Oreochromis niloticus: one gene and its partner. The protein of the gene in region 2 purifies or fractionates together with the protein of the main gene of each other region. This does not show direct contact. Links are inferred from orthologs where the notes say so. Each region holds a gene or a part of one and is shown on either strand. Other genes may lie near its edges. The genes, in order: ahcyl2b and josd2.

Region 1 (9,871 bases), on a different chromosome or scaffold from region 2:
CCATGTATTGGCTGATATTAGCTCCTTACCGATAGATTGGTACTGGTATTTATAACAGTCAAAATATTAAAATTAAAGTAATAAAGTAGATGTGAGAAAGATGTATGTGTGTGTGTGTGTGTGTGTGTGTGTGTGTGTGTGTGTGTGTGTGTGTGTGTGTGTGTGTGTGTGTGTAGTGCGCCACAAACACAACCAGCAGAGTCAACAGAGCATATTGTAATCCATGACTCATGACAATAAAACTGCATTGTTATGTTAACTTAATAATGACTCATAAATAACACGCACAACAAAATGTTAGGGAAATCTGTTTGTTTTTGTATGTTTAAAAAAAACAAACAAACAAATTGTCCGATATTGGATAGTTAAATAACTAAATCTGTCAGGGTCTACAAGTTTATCTGAAGAGGGGACTTGAATAAATATATTTATTCCTATAATCTATTTGAAGAATACACAAGTAGGGTTAGGACATAATAATTCAACTTCAATCCCTTAGGAAGTGCATGTGATCACCACAATGCAGGCACTCCCCCACACACAGACCAGCTCAGTTGCCGAGGTGACTCACCAATGAGAGGGGCGCAGGGGAAGGACAGTGACACATTCTCCTTTGTAGCTGAGAACAGCCACGGGGAGATGAAGATCAATGTGCTTGCATGAGGATGACCACGCTGAGAAACCACAGAGCAGCCACCTCATATCCTTCACGAGATGACTTGGAACAATCACAAGAGCATGGAAGGAACTAATGAACAAACAGGCTGCACAATCTTTAGCTCAGCCGGCTTCAGCACATAGTACTAGCTCCCTGCTTCATCTCACCATATTGACACCTGTATGAAACTGATCAAAACAATTGTGCCTTTTACAGAGCAAGCTGGTGTAAATATAGTTACAGTTAATGATGAGTGGCATTAGAGTGGAAACTTGTAGCACCATCGACACGTGGCAACAACAACTTAGGCTGATTTTTGACTTTGTGAAACACAACCCCACCTTCAAAATTGTTTTCGTCCTGAGCAGAGCAGCCACAGGTCACTAAGCTTGTTACCAGTGAGCACTACCAGGAACATCAGCTTAGTAGGTGACATAACATTACAACAGAGAGGAATGATCCTGCTGTTCTGTGAAGTCATTTAATAACATCACTATGCATGCTTCCCATAAACCTGTTAGGAAGTGCAATCCCTGCCAAATCAGGCAGGTGACACTACTGACCAAGTACGCAGCTAGAAAAATGTCTGCCTGCCGTATGAGTCTCGCACAGCAAACGCGATAGCAGCTAGGCCCGCTTCTTGAAGTACTCCGCAGCTGGAGCCTTCACCCAGAACTTCCCAGAGGCTGGAGATATTCAAGCCGAGCTGGACGGGTTACAATCACACTCATCACTGACTCAGAAAGCTTACATCTGGGCTCACCTACAACAGCGAGCTGGCCTTTTAATCCCCTCATGTGGTGACATGATAGAGGCAAGGATTAAAAGCCAGCCAGCCATCCAGTCAGTCAGTCAACACCGCTGCCCTGCCTGGCTGCGTACTTGCATCATCGTCCCCAGTGCTTCACTTAGCCTTTACTGCAACTGGGGAAGCACAGTTCAGCAGATGCTCGAGGCCAGTCTGTGGTCATATAAATCTATAATGCAGTACCATTATTCCTGCTATACTTCATCATCTATAAATAGGCTGCAGGCAACCTTCTGTGAATAAACACAAATACTGAAAAACAGTTGATCAGACAAATACAGTTCCAACACACTGCTTAAATTTACATAACAGGCAGACTTCAGCCCTAAAAGTGTTCAGAGTGGCGTTCATCCTCAACTCAAGCTTTCTGGACTCTCTGCATCCCATGAACTTGAAACAAGACAACACACTTGCAATGAAAATTCAAAGACAGACATACATTTTAATCACACAAACTAAGCCATAACAATAGGATATAAAGATCAACATATAATGATCAGATGTTTAATAGAGTGACTGCACTGATATTTGAAGGAAATATTGATAAAGAGTTAACAAGTGTGACTACAATGTTTACTTTCAAAGTAAAAAAGCACTATTTTAAGTAAATTTTCACAACTACTTTTCCCCTTAATCAACAGTCTGTACCTTGCACCTGCATTCAAACTTGGCCTCCCCAGTAGCACAGATGTGGCTGTTGCTTTCCCATAGCTCTGGCTGCGCTTCCCCCTGCAAGCCCGGTGTTTCCGACTGCTCATTCTCTTCTACATGCCGGCTCGCTTTGACAGTCTGAGGTACTTGAAGCCATCTGCTCTGTGCTGCTGTTGGTGTGCACTCCATTCTCTCCCTGTACTACCAAACATTTGGCTAAAAGGTCTTTAAGCTGGGTTTCCTTGGGGTTTGGTTTAATGGGATAGGATCACTGACGTAGTATATGGTGTGGGTGGGGAGTGCATCCCACCCGACTTGTCCTTTCACCGGGTTTCACCCAATTTCGAGGCTTTCTGAAGCCAAAACACACTAAAGTGGCATGTGTATTAGTGCAACAGCTGACCACTACTGATAAAGTGCACTACAGAGATAACAGGATATGCAACTGTTAATAAAGCTCCTGCAATCATTTTCTTATCAAATAAAAAATGTCCTTTCCTTGAACGTTGCCCTTCTTCTGTCCTAAAAAAGACCTTGTAAGGAGCAGAGCGATAAGACAACCACAGCTAAACCGTGCCTAAATCCCACTACGGTATCAATTTTAGGTGTTACAGACTCAAAGAGGTTTGTTTGTTTTTTTTAAACCAGGTCACAGGGGTCACACATCGCTGACTACTGTTACAGCCTAGTTAGACCACACATCTGCATTAACTGCAGAACTGCATAAATTTGACTAAACTAAAACGGCATGTCTGTTTTACAGGCAGTGAACTGTGAATAGTTTTAACATAATAATCTGAGGTCAAGCAAGGGTCATGAAGTGCCACAGAGGGACAACCCAAGTGTCAAAAATCAGAGCTTCTTCAAAAACAAGAAAGGTGTGTGCCACAATTAAACTCTGACTGAAAACACTATATCCGAAAAATGGAAGCAACTGATTTAAGCGAATAACTGCACTTAGTATGGTCTGTGTTTTGCGTTTGTCACGTTGATGTTTAAGATAATGTGACACAGATATACACAAACCTACAAAAGCATGTGGGACCTCATGCTATGAGAGAGCTTTTAAATACCCAATATCAGCACAACTTGTGAGAACAGTTGGATACTGTCGCCCACCTCCGGAGTCCTAAATATTTCACTTAAATGTCAGCCTTCGTGAAAACGGGTATGAGAAAAAGAATAACATTCCTTCCCTTGTGTTATAAGCAGTGAAAAGCATAATTTAAACCGTTAACGGCCACCGCCGATTCAGCTTTGGTGCCAGCTAGCCTGTTAGCATCGTCACACAATGCCAGCTTTCCCAGCAAGCTCGCTCTGCGGCGAGGTCCTTAGTGGTGGTCCAGCAACAGCGAGCATATGCAAAAGCACTTATGTGGAGGGGAGAAAAATGCCGCCTGGCTTACCTTTTTCATGCGAGGAGCCTCGGCAACGGTTCCGTCCCGGTTGACAAACGCCTCCCCGCCGTTCTGCTGCGGGTCCGAACGTTTCATAGACGACGCTTGAGGCATCTTCGCCGGGTTTGGGGTGAGCAAGCCCGTGCCTCCTTCCCCGGCTTTCGCGGAAGGCTCCGCGGTAGGGGACGCGGCAGCCGCGGAACCGGCCTCGTGCGGGTCGTTTCTGGGGAGGTTCTTGCCCTCCGACGTGGGTGTCACCGGGGATTCAGCCGGCAGGTCTTTGCCGGTGGGGACGTCTTTGAGTTCGACCTCTGCCATTTTCGCTGCCACAACCTGGACTGACATCGCTGCAGTTTCTCAAAGTCCTTTTTCCAGCACGGATAGCGAGTCAAGCGGATGTGAGCGGAGGAGCCACGAAGGCCAAATGCATTATGGCTCTTGTAGTTCCACTAAGTAGCTCAATGCCCCACAGGACACCTCTCACACCAGTTATTCGTACATGAATGACTTTTTATTGGACGTCAATACATGCAGCAAAAGAACAGTATCGTTACCTGTTATTATAATACATTTAAAATAGCTAAAAAGAGAGTCCTAATAGAAATTGAGACTACATTTCCCAATAGAGATAGCCGGGTTGTTAAATACACTCTGGGAAATGCAGTTTTTTTTTATAAAAGAGGACGACAATAAACTACATAACAAACGTGAGCTTTGCAGATAATGCGGTTTCAAAAGAAATCTCATAAAATGCACACTTAGATCTTTTTTGTGGAAAATAATCAATTTTCTTTCTGAAAAAAAATAATATTTACAACGTAGTAAATCCACTTATGTCAAAGTAAGCAGGAGCAGGCTGTGCTATTACACTCTGTGTGTAGCGGAGTGCTCATCAACACTCTAGTCAATATACTGCATCACATCATGCGGTGGTACATACATAAGACGGGTACAAGAGGAAGGTCAAATCACAAATAAGGAGCTGCACTGCCACCAAGTGGATGCCTAAGATATATTTTTTTTTTAAATCCCAAGCATATTGCGTACAGTTCAAGGAAATGAGGAAACAAGTGGTTTTTTATTATTAATATTTCAATTTAATTTCCAAGTCTCATGTGACACTTGTAAAACAGCGTTATCGGAAACAAACAAACATGTAGAAGGTGGTATAAAATCTAAGGAAAAAAAAATATTCACAGAAACAGACGTTGGTGACTTGAAGGCTTTTCATCTCTCTATCACATATAGTTTGACTGTTGTACATATATGTGCAGCATTTCAGTAGCTGTACATATATATGTACAACTGCTTTCAGCATAGCTGCACTATCCACTGGTCTTTTTTTCTCCTCCCCAGTAATTCAAGCGCATGCCAGGAATAATCTGATTATTGCATTCTAAACTACAACAGGACGGGGGGGGGGGGAGCGACAAAAGGTTGCTATTTACATTCAAGCTGATGGGTCTGAGCCCTTGCTGTCCACCAGATAAATCTGAGGTATATTATTTACAAGGCTGCCATGCGGGTACATTCTTAAAGTACAAAATCAGAAACCCCAAACACTGTTAAAAAATACAGCTCTTTGTTGTATCATAAGCACTCTGGTGAAAAAGAAACATGTCCCTAAAAATGCAAACGAAAACACAGCAGGCTGTCAATCATGAAAATGTTCAGAGAACATGCATCTACTCTAACTGAAGTCTTGTGTGCTGTGTGTTTTTTGGGGCTTTTTTGCTCATGTGCACCAGAAAGGGGACACACGTGTCCTCAAATCCACTTGGAGCTCCTTGTCACTTAATATTTGAGGATGACGCCTCAGTCCTCAAATATCCACAGGATGTTCACACCTGAGAGGCCCAGATTCACTCTCCTGAGGAGAATATGAGAACAATTTAACCACAGTGCACAAGACAAGGTCAAAGTAGTCACTATAAAAAATAAATAAAAATAAAAGTCAATATTAAATCTGCACTTTAGTGCATCACTTCTATCGGGAAAATGAATCAATATTTCATGATTCTTTCTAATGGCTCTATTCATGTTGGAGATTAAAATCCAACTAGTTTTGAAAAAAGAGAAAAACTCACCCCAGCATCCCTGACTCCTTGGTCTTAATAACATAGAGGAACATGAGGATTGTGTGGAACAGGTTGTTCCTCCCCTGTAACCGAAATCAACATAGGTTCACATCAGCACAATAAAGTGTTACAAACAAGCAAGAAAACCTCAACTGTTACTGAACGATACGCCTGTTACATGCTGGCTCTTTCTCTAGGACGAGGAAGGCCCATGGATTTAATGTAAGTAACAAGAATTATTCTTTTATGAATAAAACATGGGTTTTTGATTTGCAAATAATTTTATTAAGCATCCCAGCATTTGTGATAATGGGGTTAGTATTTTAAGTTATCCTCCATGAAAGAGATTGTAATGTTTCCCTGGGAAAACAGAGGAATATGTAACAACTGAAAAATTATTGGCTACATTGTAGGCAGTGTTTAAATTAACAAATGGCCAACAATTTTACAACTGGTGCATTCCTAAAAAAAAGAGAAGAAAATAAAAAGGAGTGAGAACCTTGGGAAGACTGTAGACATGTCCTTGGTAGATGAGCTGGTAGTGAGGAGGAGTGGTGCTGCTTTGATGAATGCAGAAGAGGTTCTCCTTGGTAACATCTATGAGTTAATACAAAAAGGTTACACAAAAGAAAAAAAAAGCAATGCTGGATTTCAAGGAGGATCAAACAGTGGCCATCTTAAGTCTTTAAGTACTATTCTTTAAATCTTATCTAATGGTGCGCTCACCAGGTTTGTCTGGGGTGTGGCTAAAATGTTGAGAAGTGAAAGTCTTCCCATCGGGGTACTTTGGGTGCGGAGGCAGCCTGGAGTCCAGGTATGTACAAAACACATGCATGAGGATCTGAGAAGACAGACACGTGGTTATTGTGACACAACTGAGCCACAGCGTGTGCAGTAAAAGACCAAGGTTGCTTTGATCTGACGAGTAGAACAATTACGGTAATTATTCCACCCTTTGCTACTGACATTTACTTTTTAGCTCATTCACACCCCGTCCTTGTCCTTTAGAAGCATTAAAAAAAAAAAAAAGTCATTTATATGATGAGAACTCAACACTGGTGCAATTTAAACACATTTTGAGTATACTCACATGTGACATTTATTAAATGCACATAAATAAATAAATAAATAAATACATACATACATACATACATACAAGAGCTAGTATTTTATACTCAAGATATGGAGATCTCTGTTGGTCCTGCTATCCTGATCTGCGTGATGCTCTTGTTGGGTTTGCAATAAACTGCATTTTAAGACTAATTGCTGCTCATTATGTCTGTGTGGATATCGCTGGGTGTGGTTATGTACACTCACAGCACAGTCAGTAGGAAGGTCTGTATCCCATTTCCTGTTCTTCAGGTCACCACCACCGTTCCAGCGAAAGGAGCTCATACAACCGCTGTGAGCCAGCTCTGACACAAAGAAGAAATAAAACACACAGCACATATGCAGTGAAGTCCAATCACAGGTCCACAGTGTTCATTTTTCATGGCTGAACATAACACAATTTATTTAGTTTGATGCAGGTATACAGGACTTTTAAAAAAAAATAAATTAATGCCTATATGCTTTAATATTAAACGCACCCTTTATCCGGTCCACTAGATACTCCTGGTTGGGTGTGATATCCAAGTATTGGACAATAGAGTTCAAAGTAGGGATGGAAGAGGCTTTGGTCACTGCTGCCTGTTTCAGACTGCTTATGCTGGCCTCTGGTGGAGAAAAAAAAATGAAAAAGTAAAGTAGCTGGCATAACAGTGCCTACAGAGTGTCCATTTCAATTGATTTGGAAATGTTTTGAGGCATCTCCTTACTACTCATCAGTCAATAGCAGATTTTAGAAGTTTACCTCCTATCTGGAGCTCTGGGCAGCCCATTCTCCTGAGCAGGCTATTAACCGAATCTATTTCTTTGACCAAGGGGACCAAGATAGTATCACTGATCCACTGCAGACACAAATAAAAAAAATTTTTTAATTCATATCAAATATTTATGGACACCTGGAATTCATTAGATATATAGATAATCAAGTGAAGCCCTACTCACATTTCTAAGCTTGGCTGTCCAGCCATCAATGCGATCCAACACTGGGCGACTGGTTGTGATTCTCGCCCACACCTACGTATCAGAAAGGAGATAGAAAAACATTTCCAAAAGAGACAACTATAGTTTAAAGGAAAAAACAAAACGGCTAATCTTTCAACCGATAGCAGCACAAATACCGACACACAGACCTCCTCTGCAGCCTGTTTGGAGCCCAGGTCCGTCTCGTCCTTGTGGGCAGAAGGCGCCTGAGAGCGGCATGCAGGCTGGTAGAGGAACTTCCTGAGGCTCTGTGCATAATCTCCCACCGAACGGTTGTAGTTCCAAAACGTAGGACTGTGGCTTGGAGACACAGACTCTGGACTTCCTACACAGGGAATGACGCCATCATGACATCAGAAGTGACCTACTATGTTAGAATGGGCGATGCTTATGCTAACCATAGCCAAAGTTTCAAATAATGAGGATTTTCCACTCTTGGATCTGTACAATGTCCAAGAGAGGGGCTATGCTTCAAGGCTGTAGTTCAAAACTTGCTTGTGAGCATAAACCCAACTGCCTAATTGTATTCATTCATTCACGCTTTAAAAAGTGTGAATGAAACCTACAATTCCCTCTGTGATCTACTCTACTTTTATCTCCAATTCAGTTTAGCTACCTACCAAGCTGGCTCCGGTGACTCCTTTCCTCCTCTGTTCGCAGGAACCTCTCCAGACTTTTCAGATCCTCCATGTAGTCCTCCTTGCTTCCAGGGGAGTTAAACACGGAGGGAGGTGTGCGGTAGCGAGCCCTCAAGCTGGAGCCTTCTGCTGACCCAATTGTAGTGGGATAAGGAGTGGAGCCAGAGGGTGGACTGTAGTTCAGCACCTGAAACAAGGAAAATCGTTAATGGAAAGGAAATGGAGTTATAGTCAGTCATATTCAGTTTTCTTTTTTTCTCATGTACTCATGTCACTCCTGGTTAAAAGTACCTTTCCAAAGGACACAGAAGGGGAAAAGGGGCCTCCTGCACTGTTTGTTGGGGATGGGTTGCTGAGTGTGGGGCTATATCCAGGAACACAGCTGGGGGAGAACTTGGGGCTGCTGGAGGCTGTACGAGAGGGACTAAAGCTGAGCACGCTCTGGCCCTGCAGAGGAGATGACTGGGCTGGAGCCGGAGCTTCCTTCTTTTCTGGCTTTTGGGGTGGAGATGCCTGAATACCTGCAAAACAAAAAAACCCCAACTCTGGCTCATATGTTGATCTAAAGATTGGGGGGGGCTTCCTTTCTGCTACTTTATTTGCCACAAAGGGTCTTGAACATAGCAAGAATTGGACACAAGCTGTGGAAAAATATAAACCATAAATTTGCGCCTCACTTGTGTTTCTCAGACCCAGAAGGTGATGCTGCTCAGGGCTTACAGCAATGGTGGATGGAGCCATTGTGTATTTGAAATACTTCCAGAAGTCATAAAGAGCATTGAGGCTAAAAAGGGAGGCAAGCACCAATTCTGTAAAAGAAAAAAACAAAATAAAACACTGTAGCAGAGTGTGAACACGCAGATGGCAAATTAAAAGACATTTCCCTGTATTCTTGGCACAATGCTTTTTAGCATTATATATAGTACTGTGCAAGATTCCCCTCATTTCTTCATATTTTGCTAGGAAAATAGGTGCAATAATCCATTAAGCATGTGCAAACGAATTGAAATACAGTGTGAAAAACAAGTCTCTCAAGATACAATTTAAAGTTGTTGTCAAAGCAGCCAATGTCCAAAGAAAAACTGAAGGAATTTCAGAAAGTCAGGACAACTATAGCAAGAACACATAACCTTACAAGAAAGTCTGGTTGGTTGGAAGCAAAACATGAAGAAGTGAAGCGTGACTCAAGACTTTTCTACATTGTAAAGGTTACTTCAAGCACAGCTGAGAATACATAGGGACTTATTCTGAACAGACAAGCAAAACACAATTCTGATATGTAGCATAATACGGTATATTAGGTCTGCGTTGCTGTTTGTGCAGTAGTGTAGTGGGGCCTCACCGATATACCAGATAGGCCAGTAGGTAATGTTGTAGTATCGGCTCAGCAGCTTGCCTGACCTGACAGAAAAGTAAAAAAATAAAACCAGACGAGTACATAACCACACCGTCAAGCACGCAGCGTTATTTAACATTGATGTATGTAACTTACATTTCAGTGTAAATCATGCCAGCAAGAGATACGTTGAGAACAGCCCAGGCAAGGACCACCT
Region 2 (9,547 bases):
ATGCTTTAAAGGCACAACAGTAGATAATTAATATCAGTTAAGCAATCGACGGGCAATGTTAACTTTATGTTACCGTTAGCATACCTAGCCTAGCAAATGCCTCGATTAGAGTTCGTGTTAAAGAAGCTTTTGGTTTAGTGGTAATAGTTTCTATTGTGTATGAAGGTACTTATTAATTACACGAATATACATCTGAAGACATTAAATAAACGCATTAACTTTTAACAAATAGACACAACCGCCCATAAAAATCGAAAAATAAAAAAAACTCGACAGCTAAAATCGGTTAGAGCTAGCAGTGTCTCCCATTAGCCGTTAGCTAAGAGGTTGATCTTACCATCTTCAAAAAGGAGCTCTGCTTGGGTGGTGGGTGTCTGGCTGGTGTCAGATATAAAGAACCGTTTCTAATAGAGTCTAGAGGAGTGAAAAACTATATTCGATGAAAACTTAGCCGGCTGGCTGATGATCGCCGTTCTTCTTTTCTTCTCTACGTTGACACAGGAACAAAAATACGATCCTCAGTTGAACCTTAAAGCACGTACCAATGAGCGGCATAGTGGTGTGAAACGTCAGAAGAGACAAACCAATCGAAATGCAGCGATAGAGCTGCGTCACGACAAAAAGCCCTATCAGTCACATAGAGTGAAAAGTACATCTGATACACGCCAGCGATAGGTCCATTTAAAAAACTCTCAAATCTAATCGATACTGAAAGATCAGCATCAGCTACATTGAACACCAAAATTAAGAAACGCCCACTGTTTAAACCAGCCTTCCTAATTTATTCAATAGATAAATACTTAACTTGATAAGCGGGATCACTTTTGTTACGTTGTATGATAGGTTTCCTTTAATGTTGGTTAATTAAGTTAACTCTAATCTAACAATAACTGACTAAAATTACACACACAGTTTTTTTCGTATTCGTGTACGACAGAAACGTGCCTGAGCAATACACCACCAAAAATAACAACACAATTAACATTTATTCACCAGACACACTTTTAGGTGACCTACACCTTGTTAGTACTGCTCTGGAGCCATTTTTGCCTTCAGAACTATTTTAAGTCTTCATGACATTCAACAAGGTGCTGGAAACATTCCTCAGAAATTTTGGTTCAGATTGACATGATAGCATCACACAATAGAAGCAGATTTGCTGCACATGGCTGCACATCCATGATGTGAATGTGCCTTTCCACCACAGCCCAAAGGTGCTCTATTAGACTGAGGTAAACTGGCTGTGGAGGCCATTTGAGCACAGTGAACTAATTTTCTTGTTCAAGACTAGGGCTGGGTATTGATAAGATTTTCACGATTCCGATTCCATTTTCGATTCTGTTTAACGATTCGATTCTTTATCGATTCTCTTATCGATTCTTTTTAAAAAAGGAGAACACTAAGGTCGAATAGCTTAGAACTTTGTTTTATATCTTCTCTTTGAACAAGATAGAAATTTAGGAGTAACATGGCCTTACAAAACCAACAGTGAGATCTTAAGAGATCCACAGCCTACGGCTCTTCAATGGGGTGTCACAGGGTCCCCAGGAAAAAAAATTGTTATTGCTACAGAAGAATATTTACTTTATTATTTTACATTTACAAAGTTTAACATAAATTATTCTGTAGCAATTACACAAGAATATCCAGTAATGTCCCTGCCTACAATTAAACACATTCACTTACGGAAAATCGGGGGCATCTGCTGTGGCAAATGGGTGCAAGCCTTTGACCACAAAAGGCTGCTCGGTGACATTCGTCTATCCTGGCCTGAAAGGAGACACTACCGGTAGACTGCAGCGAGAACTGCCAGCATCTGAGCCAGCCAGACTCTGTCTCTCTCATCATGGTCGCCTAAATGCAGCGCACAGTAATGGCAGGTTTTGTAATAAGGCAGATCGCGCTAACATAATATGCACTGTTAGCTGATTATTTACCTGCCGTATTAACGGGAGAGGACGTGCAAACATTACCGCTGCTGCTGGGTTGAGATTCACGAGTCCGGAGCGGAATTAAAAACATGACATTCATTTAAGGTTATCGCGTGTTTTGTGAGCAAACGCTTTTGCATATTCGTAGTGTTTCCTCCCTTAAATTAAATATCTACTTTGCAAGTATTGCAAGTTGCCCTGTTGTCATCCGTTCTCGTAAAGTATAATCAAACTTTTGAGCGTTTGAGCCGCTTAGGCGCCCTGCCAGGTAAATGACGCTCCGCAACGTGGTGACGTCATTCAGGGCGACTGGAATCGATAAGGGAATCGTTTGCAAAAATGGCAAACAATTCCAAGGAATTGAAACAGTGGGAACCGGTTCTCAACAAGAACCGGTTTTCGATACCCATCCCTATTCAAGACACCAGTTTGAGATTATTTGAGGTTTGTGACATGGTGTGTTATCCTGTTGGAAGCAGCCATCAGAAAATATGCACACTGTGGTCATGAGGGGATGGACATAATCACAGGTAGGCTCAGTTGGTACCCAAAATTGGCCAGGAAAATGTCCTCACATTATTACAACACCAGCAGTAACCCTGACCATTGAGACAAGGCAGGATGGATTTGTACTTTCGTGTTTAATGTTTATAGCAGAAAGACTCTGGGCAACATTTTCCCGTATTTGATTGTCCAATCTTTGTGAGCCTGCATTAATTGTAGCCTCAGTTTCCTGTTCTTACCTGGCAGGAGTGGCACCCAGTATGATCTTCTGTAACGGTAGCCCTGTAGCTTTAAGAATGTTGTGCTTTCAGAAATGCTCTTCTGCATGCTTTTGTTAGAATAAGTGGTTTATTTGAGTTGCTATTGCTTTCCTATCTGCTCGAAAAAGTCTGGCTGTTGTCCTCTGACCCCTGACATTTGAGCATTTGAGAACTGTTGATCACTAGATATTTTCTCTGTTTTTGGATCTTCTGTAACCCTACAGATGGTTGTGTGGGAAAATCCCAGTAGATCAGCAGTTTCTGAAATACTCAGACCAGTCTGTCTGACACCACCAATGCATGTTCAATGCCATGTTCAAAGTCACTTAAATCACCCTTCTTCCGCATACTGATGCTCGATCAGACAGGTCATCATGACCAAATCTTGACCTTTTTGCCAAAATTGTCCCACTGTCTATAATCAAGTTTAAAGAGGTGATTCAGTGACTCCAAAACACTGCCATATTTTATGAGATAGATAGATAGATAGTTGTATATAGCATTTGTATTCTATTTTTATCTTATTGTATATTTTATTCTATTTTATTCTACTGTATATAGTATTTTATTTTATTCTATTCTGTACAGTTGTGTACTGTATTTATTCTTATTTTATTTTATTCTAATTTTTGCTTCATAACTTTTGCACTGTCCACTTCCTGCTGTGACAAAACAAATTTCCCACGTGTGGGACTAATAAAGGTTATCTTATCTTATCTTATAGATAGATAGATAGATAGATAGATAGATAGATAGATAGATAGATAGATAGATAGATAGATAGATAGATAGATAGATAGATAGATAGATAGATAGATAGATAGATTTAAATATTTAAGCATAACAAGTCACCTTTACAGTAGTAGGAGTTTATGTAAATAAGTGTAGGAGTCATTTGGGTTGATACCTTATGTATGCCGCTAAAGGTCACTTTTTGAGTTTTTTGTTGTGGAAATAAAGAATCTAAAGGACAAGATGAGTAAGGCTGGAGTTATTGGACTGTATCAAGTTAAATATATTCATGCATACCAGTGACATCCCTGTCATTGAGTACCTCAGTGGCTTCAAGCGTAGGCTTAGCCTCTACAGTAAGACTAAGCTTAGGATTTTGTCACCCTAACAGTTACAGTAATTAACAAATCTATTAGATTACTTGCCATAAAGTCTGTAAAAATATTTCAAAAATCTGTTTAAAACTAAAAATGATTTTGTTATTCTATTAGACACATTAAACAAAATTGATTTTCCTAAACTGGACTTCCATCCAACCATTAAAATTTTTCCTGCACAACTGCAAATAAATACATTTATCTCAATAAAAAATAGACAGATTTAACATTTTTTCTGCAAAAATGTAAATTTGAAAATTTACAGTTTTCACTTTATGGATTTGCTTGCTTCCATTTTAAATTGTTTTAAGTTCTAACTTTCTTTTATAATAGGGAAAATTTTTATTAAGAGCTAATAATAATTTGCTAATAATTTCAGAATACATACATTTTTCGACTCCTTCCTTTAGGGGTCGCCACATCAGATCATCTGCCTCCATTTCACCCTGCCCCTAACATCCTCCTGTGACACACCAACCCTTTGCATGTCCTCCTTCCCTACATCCATGAATCTTCGTGGTGGACTTCCTTTTTTCCTCCTGCCTGGCAGCTGCACATTCAATATCCTTTGTCCAATACATCCACCATCCTTCCACAGCACATCCCCGAACCATTTGAGCCTTCCCTCTCCAGCTCAGCCTCCTGTCTCTTTGTCAGTAGCACCGTCTCCAAACCAGACATGACAGCAGGTGTCACAACTATCTTGTAAGCCTTTTTTTTTTTACTCTTGCTGCTATCCTTCTGTCACAAATCACCCCCCACACTCATCTCCACCACTGTCTGTTCTTAACCTCTCTTATGCACTGTTTGTTGTCTTGGATGTGACCCCAGGTATTTAAACTCATCCAACGTTGCAACCTCTGCTCCTTGAAACTTTACCTTTTCACCTCTCTAGTCTAGTTTAGTCATACTTCTACTGACTTTCTTCAGCTCTTCAACCTACTCCTGGTTCTTACTACAAATCACAATGTCGTCTGCAAACATCATTGTCCACTATTTCAGAATAGAATAAGGCAGTCATGTAGAAATCTCAAGTCTCACCATACAATGCATCAAAGCCTTAGTCAGGCAGGCTTTGAAAACAACATTTCCTACATATTTTCATGTATTTATTTATTTCGTTTATTTCAGTTTGGTGGTTGTACAACTTAATTTCATTTAGTTATCTTTTTCCTAGAATATAGTTGTTGTTGTTTTTTCGAGTCCGGATATGTACTTTTAGTTTTTAGTTGAGGCTTAGCTCACTTCATTAACTTCAGTCAGTATCACCGCAGTCAGCAGTAACCAGGCTCGTCACTAGGGGGCGCTTCAACATCAGCTCAGTGATTAGACGCGGGGAAGAAGTGTGTGTGTGTGACACCATTGGTGAGTTGAAGATGAGTTAATCCTGTCATTATTATTACTTTCCTCTATTCAGCATAATTAAACTGTTAAAGTGGCGGGGTTTCCAGCCCTGCTGTGAAGGACGCATACGGACGACAAAAAAAACCCCCAACACCATCTCAACAACAAAGGCTCAGCTTCCGGTTTCTGGATGTAGCTGTCAGGCTCCACCACCATTTAAACGGGGCATCGCTTTATCAGCAGGTCGGTAGCTTCGTTTAGCTATTGTTGATTAATAATAGTTTATCAGGATGTTTTTCCAAACTGCCAGCAGTCATAAACACAGAGTATACTCAGTTTTTTCAGCTTCTTTTACAGCGAGCAGCCGCTAGCCTGAATGGGCTACAAACTGCTAGCTAGCAGATGTAATATGACCGTTAATTAACGAGACTTCTCGTTTGTCTGTGAAGCTTTAGTATGAGCGAAGGAGAGGTGTTTCATGAGAAGCAACGATTGGAGCTGTGCGCAATTCACGCACTCAACAACGTGCTCCAGGAGCGGGTGTTTACCAAAGAGACAGCCGACGATATCTGCAAAAGGTAGGGCAGCCTCTGGGTGACGTGACGGTGTACGGAAATCTGTACACAAACCAGCGAGAGCATTCAAACGATCCATCTGCTAAACTTGCCAATGATCTGACCAGTTTATAACCCCAACATTCCAGACAATACTTCATAATTTGTTTACACTGTGAATACACTGCTATTTTTCTGCAATGCAGCAGCTGCTTTTATCTTCTAAGGCGTGTGTGAGATGCTGAACATGACTGGTTTTCATGTTGAGCTTCAGTTATGGCAGTGCCGAGCAAGGCTTTTACTGGGAACTCCAAGACTCAAGCAGAAATTACTGAATTCCCTCATTCAGCCATCATGTCTTCCATCTAAAAGTGAAAAATGCCAAACATTTATTCTTACCAAAAGCTTTAATGTGATCAGGAGTGTGTGGGTGTTGTTTTTTTTTGCACTCACTGTTAGGAAAATTTAACATTAAGTTTTTGTGGGGAAAGAGCAGTGGTGCTGTCCGTGTAGCAGAAACCATTGTTTTTCAGCGAGGCTGCGCTGTACGTCAGCAGCCATTAGCTTAATTGAACATGAGGCCAGATGAGTCATGATCTCTGTGGCTTTTGACAAACAACATTTATTTGAATGCAGAGCAGCTCAACCCCAACCCCACAAAAACACAGCTTTTTCATATCGCTGTGGTTGTTTGGGGACAACAGTTATGCATTGTGATGATATTTATATGCAAGAAAGTAAAAAAAAATCTAAACAGTTTTGTAAAGAAGATGCAGTATAACATTTGTTTTTTTTAAAACTGTATTTCTCTGCCTTTTTTCTCTCGTGGCAGGCTGGCTCCACAGTGTGTCGTGAACCCACATCGGTCAGTGTTAGGGACGGGAAACTATGATGTCAACGTCATCATGGCGGCACTACAGAGCCGGGAGTTGGCTGCGGTGTGGTGGGACAAACGCAGGTAAGTGAGTCACACTGAAGTCTGTGAAATGAGAAAGTAATTTTGTGGAGCGGTCCCGCCTCTGCGCTCGTAATGTCGGTGTTAAATTTAAAATTTACTTTTTCATTTACACTGTGTCTCCGGGCTGTTTGTTCTACCTTAGCTTTTTTTAAGCCATACCTATACAGCTGGTTGTTAATAAAAATATCCAATTAGACAATTACATGGAAGCAACTCAGTTCGTTTAGGAATTTAGGCACCAAAACACAGTCAGGATGACCTGCTAAAGTTTAAACTGAGCATCAGAATGGGGAAGAAAGATGATTTAAAGTGATTTTAAACGTGGCATGGTTGTTGGTGCCAGATGGACCGGTCTGTTTATTTCAGAAACTGCTGATCTTCTGGGATTTTCCCAAGAAAACACCTCCAGGGCAGAACACCATTTCTAAATGTGCAACATATCAAACCTTGAAGCAGATGGGATACAGTATCAGAACACTAGACCGGGGCCCACTCAGGGAACCGAGATTACAACCAACCAACCCAGTGTTAGCAAGGTGTACCTAATAAAGTGGCTGGGACTGTATACTGCAAGGGGATCCAGAATATTGAGATCAGCTCTTAGTGCCAGGCTGTTGTAATAAAAGGAAAAGGGAATCCTTTAGACTATTTTTAGACACAGATGGGTTTTTTTCCCCTTAAAACAACGTATCTTAATTTTAAACCACTTGCGATGTAACCCTAAGGCGTTGTTGGATTACACATAAAAAGCATATTGGCAGTCTTACCAAACCACAGCTACATGTGAAAATGAACTTTGTGCTTTGATAGATTTACGGACTCAGTAAGTGCTTCAGAAGTAGGCTAGCCGGGTCGAGGTCATTCATAATGAAAAATGCCCTGAGAGGCACTGAGTGTAATAACTGGTTAAGTAAGACTATCTCAAAGTGGGTGATTTAGTGCTTTCTTTCTCCCCTCTTTCAAACTGCAGGGAAGTTGAGAACCTCTGTATGTCAAAGGTCCAAGGCTTTATTCTGAATGTCCCATCACGAGTATCTTTGGGGATTGTATCCCTCCCGCTCCGACGGCGGCATTGGCTCGCAGTTCGGCAAGTTAGCGGACAGTACTACAACCTGGACTCTAAGCTGAAGAGTCCGGTCTGCATCGGCGGAGAAGCAGAGCTACGGTAAGAATTGTGCACGTATACGTCCAGTGTTTCCCAGAGTCTCAGGAGCAGAGGTGTAATCTCTGTGTGAGTGATTCTGCTCTGACTTCGATCTAAACTTGGCTTTTGTGTGCTGTTTGAACTCACTGAGTGAGTCATACCATATGACTGGTCACATGGGAGTGGGGGTTACCTCATTGTTTGTTTTGTGTTAGGACACTGTGCTCTATTAACATCCCCACTGTCTTGTGTTCTAATAAACTTCTCTCTCTTCGCTTCTGTTTCAGCACATTTCTCACTGAACAGCTTTCTCAGGACGTGGCAGAGATGCTGCTCGTTGTCCGACGGGAGGTGGAGGAGGACGGCTCGTGGCTGAACGCTGACAGCAAGAAGTGATGCCTTGGGACAGAACATAACTTTGCAAAGCGTGGGGGAAAAAACCCTCCTCTGGGGAAATGACAGACATTTTGAAAGAGAGAAACAAACACCTTGTTCAAAAAATATCTTCAGGGAATGCACTAAAATACATTTAATATCTACACAAACACACAAATTCCAAAGAGAAGTAGAGGTGGGCGTTTAATCCTGAAATGAAGAACTGCTTGATTGTAACGGCTTAAAAAAGAAAACCATTGCTCTGGTATGACCCATCTATCTGCAACGTCAACTGTACTCTTGTACTTTTTGTTTTAACTCTTTGAGTTGAAAAGTTGCAGGTTAGAGGCAAATGTGGGCTAGTTTATGGCACTTTTGTTGTGACCTGATTCTGAAATGTTACTGTGTTTTTTGGTAACTGGATAAATTTGATTACTTAAAATGCTATTAGGATGAATTCGCCACTTAGGATACTGTTGTCTTATATCCAGTTTGTTATGTGCTACGTGTGCTATGGTTATGCCAGAATGTGTTGATTGTGAAGGAGCGCCATCTCTTCCTTCACTTTTGTTATTAACCTTCTATGCACTGCAACGTTTGAGTTGTTTGCACTGTTTGTCTTTGTTAGCACTCATGCAGGCACAGGAGCCTTGAATGCATTGCCTTAAAGAGGCACCGGAAGACTGCACCAGTGTCTTTGCATGTGTTCATCCATTTACTTGACTTCTTGCGTTCTTTTTAGTCTAGTTACACAGTTGTGGTCAGAAGTTTACACGCACTCATCGTGGGCACGAATGTTATGATAATTTGGGGCTTTTAATGAATTCTTTGAACTTTTTTTTTTTCCCAGGGTGGAATGATTGTACAGCATACGTCTTTAATGACTTTTAAAAACAAGAATTGGCTGTGCAACTTTGAAACTGGATTTTCTCTAAACCACACAGGGTTAAATATCTGCATACACCCACACTAATATTTGGTTAAATTTCCCCTGGCACGTTGCACCTCAGCCAGACTCTTTTGGAAGCTTCTGCCTGAATCGTTGACCACTCATCTTGGCAGATATGATGGAGTTAATTTAAATCAGGCACAGAGACAGCGTTTAAGCATAGTCCATAACTTTTCAGTAGGTTTTGGGAAGGCCTTTCCATTAATGGATGTAAACCTCTGACCACAGCTGTGTTATAGTTGTGTGGTAAAGTTGTACAAGCCACACAGTAAAGAAGCTCCCTCAGTCCATTTTTCTTCTGTTTATCCAGTTCAAGGTCGGGGCAGTTAGGGTGGTTGGGGGGGCTGGAGCCAATCCCAACTGTCACAGGGTGAGAGGCAGGGTACACCTTGGCCATGTTGCCAGTATGTCACATGGCC

The links.
Region 1: the proteins of josd2 (region 2) and ahcyl2b purify together in Homo sapiens (affinity purification with mass spectrometry; 3 studies listed by BioGRID and IntAct, counting the BioPlex papers as one, with this or other methods). This does not show direct contact. The link is inferred for Oreochromis niloticus from reciprocal best matches to the Homo sapiens genes JOSD2 and AHCYL2.

What each region holds. Positions count from the first base shown.
Region 1 is NC_031981.2:6,673,496-6,683,366, reverse strand, and holds the start of ahcyl2b (adenosylhomocysteinase like 2b), read right to left. Parts: upstream 3,949-9,871; 5' UTR 3,860-3,948; coding exon 3,524-3,859; intron 2,322-3,523; exon of another isoform or gene 2,307-2,321; coding exon of another isoform or gene 2,115-2,306; intron 1-2,114. Other genes in the region: tmem209 (transmembrane protein 209), read right to left, coding at 5,330-5,384, 5,602-5,675, 6,092-6,189, 6,319-6,433, 6,910-7,007, 7,182-7,307, 7,445-7,541, 7,642-7,713 and 6 more. UniProt on the Homo sapiens protein: May regulate the electrogenic sodium/bicarbonate cotransporter SLC4A4 activity and Mg(2+)-sensitivity. On the contrary of its homolog AHCYL1, does not regulate ITPR1 sensitivity to inositol 1,4,5-trisphosphate.
Region 2 is NC_031976.2:22,310,313-22,319,859, reverse strand, and holds the start of josd2 (josephin-2), read left to right. Parts: upstream 1-5,066; 5' UTR 5,067-5,169; intron 5,170-5,240; exon of another isoform or gene 5,241-5,255; 5' UTR 5,256-5,391; intron 5,392-5,597; 5' UTR 5,598-5,604; coding exon 5,605-5,726; intron 5,727-6,534; coding exon 6,535-6,660; intron 6,661-7,630; coding exon 7,631-7,825; intron 7,826-8,091; coding exon 8,092-8,200; 3' UTR 8,201-9,547. Other genes in the region: ube2s (ubiquitin-conjugating enzyme E2 S), read right to left, coding at 338-340. UniProt on the Homo sapiens protein: Cleaves 'Lys-63'-linked poly-ubiquitin chains, and with lesser efficiency 'Lys-48'-linked poly-ubiquitin chains (in vitro). May act as a deubiquitinating enzyme.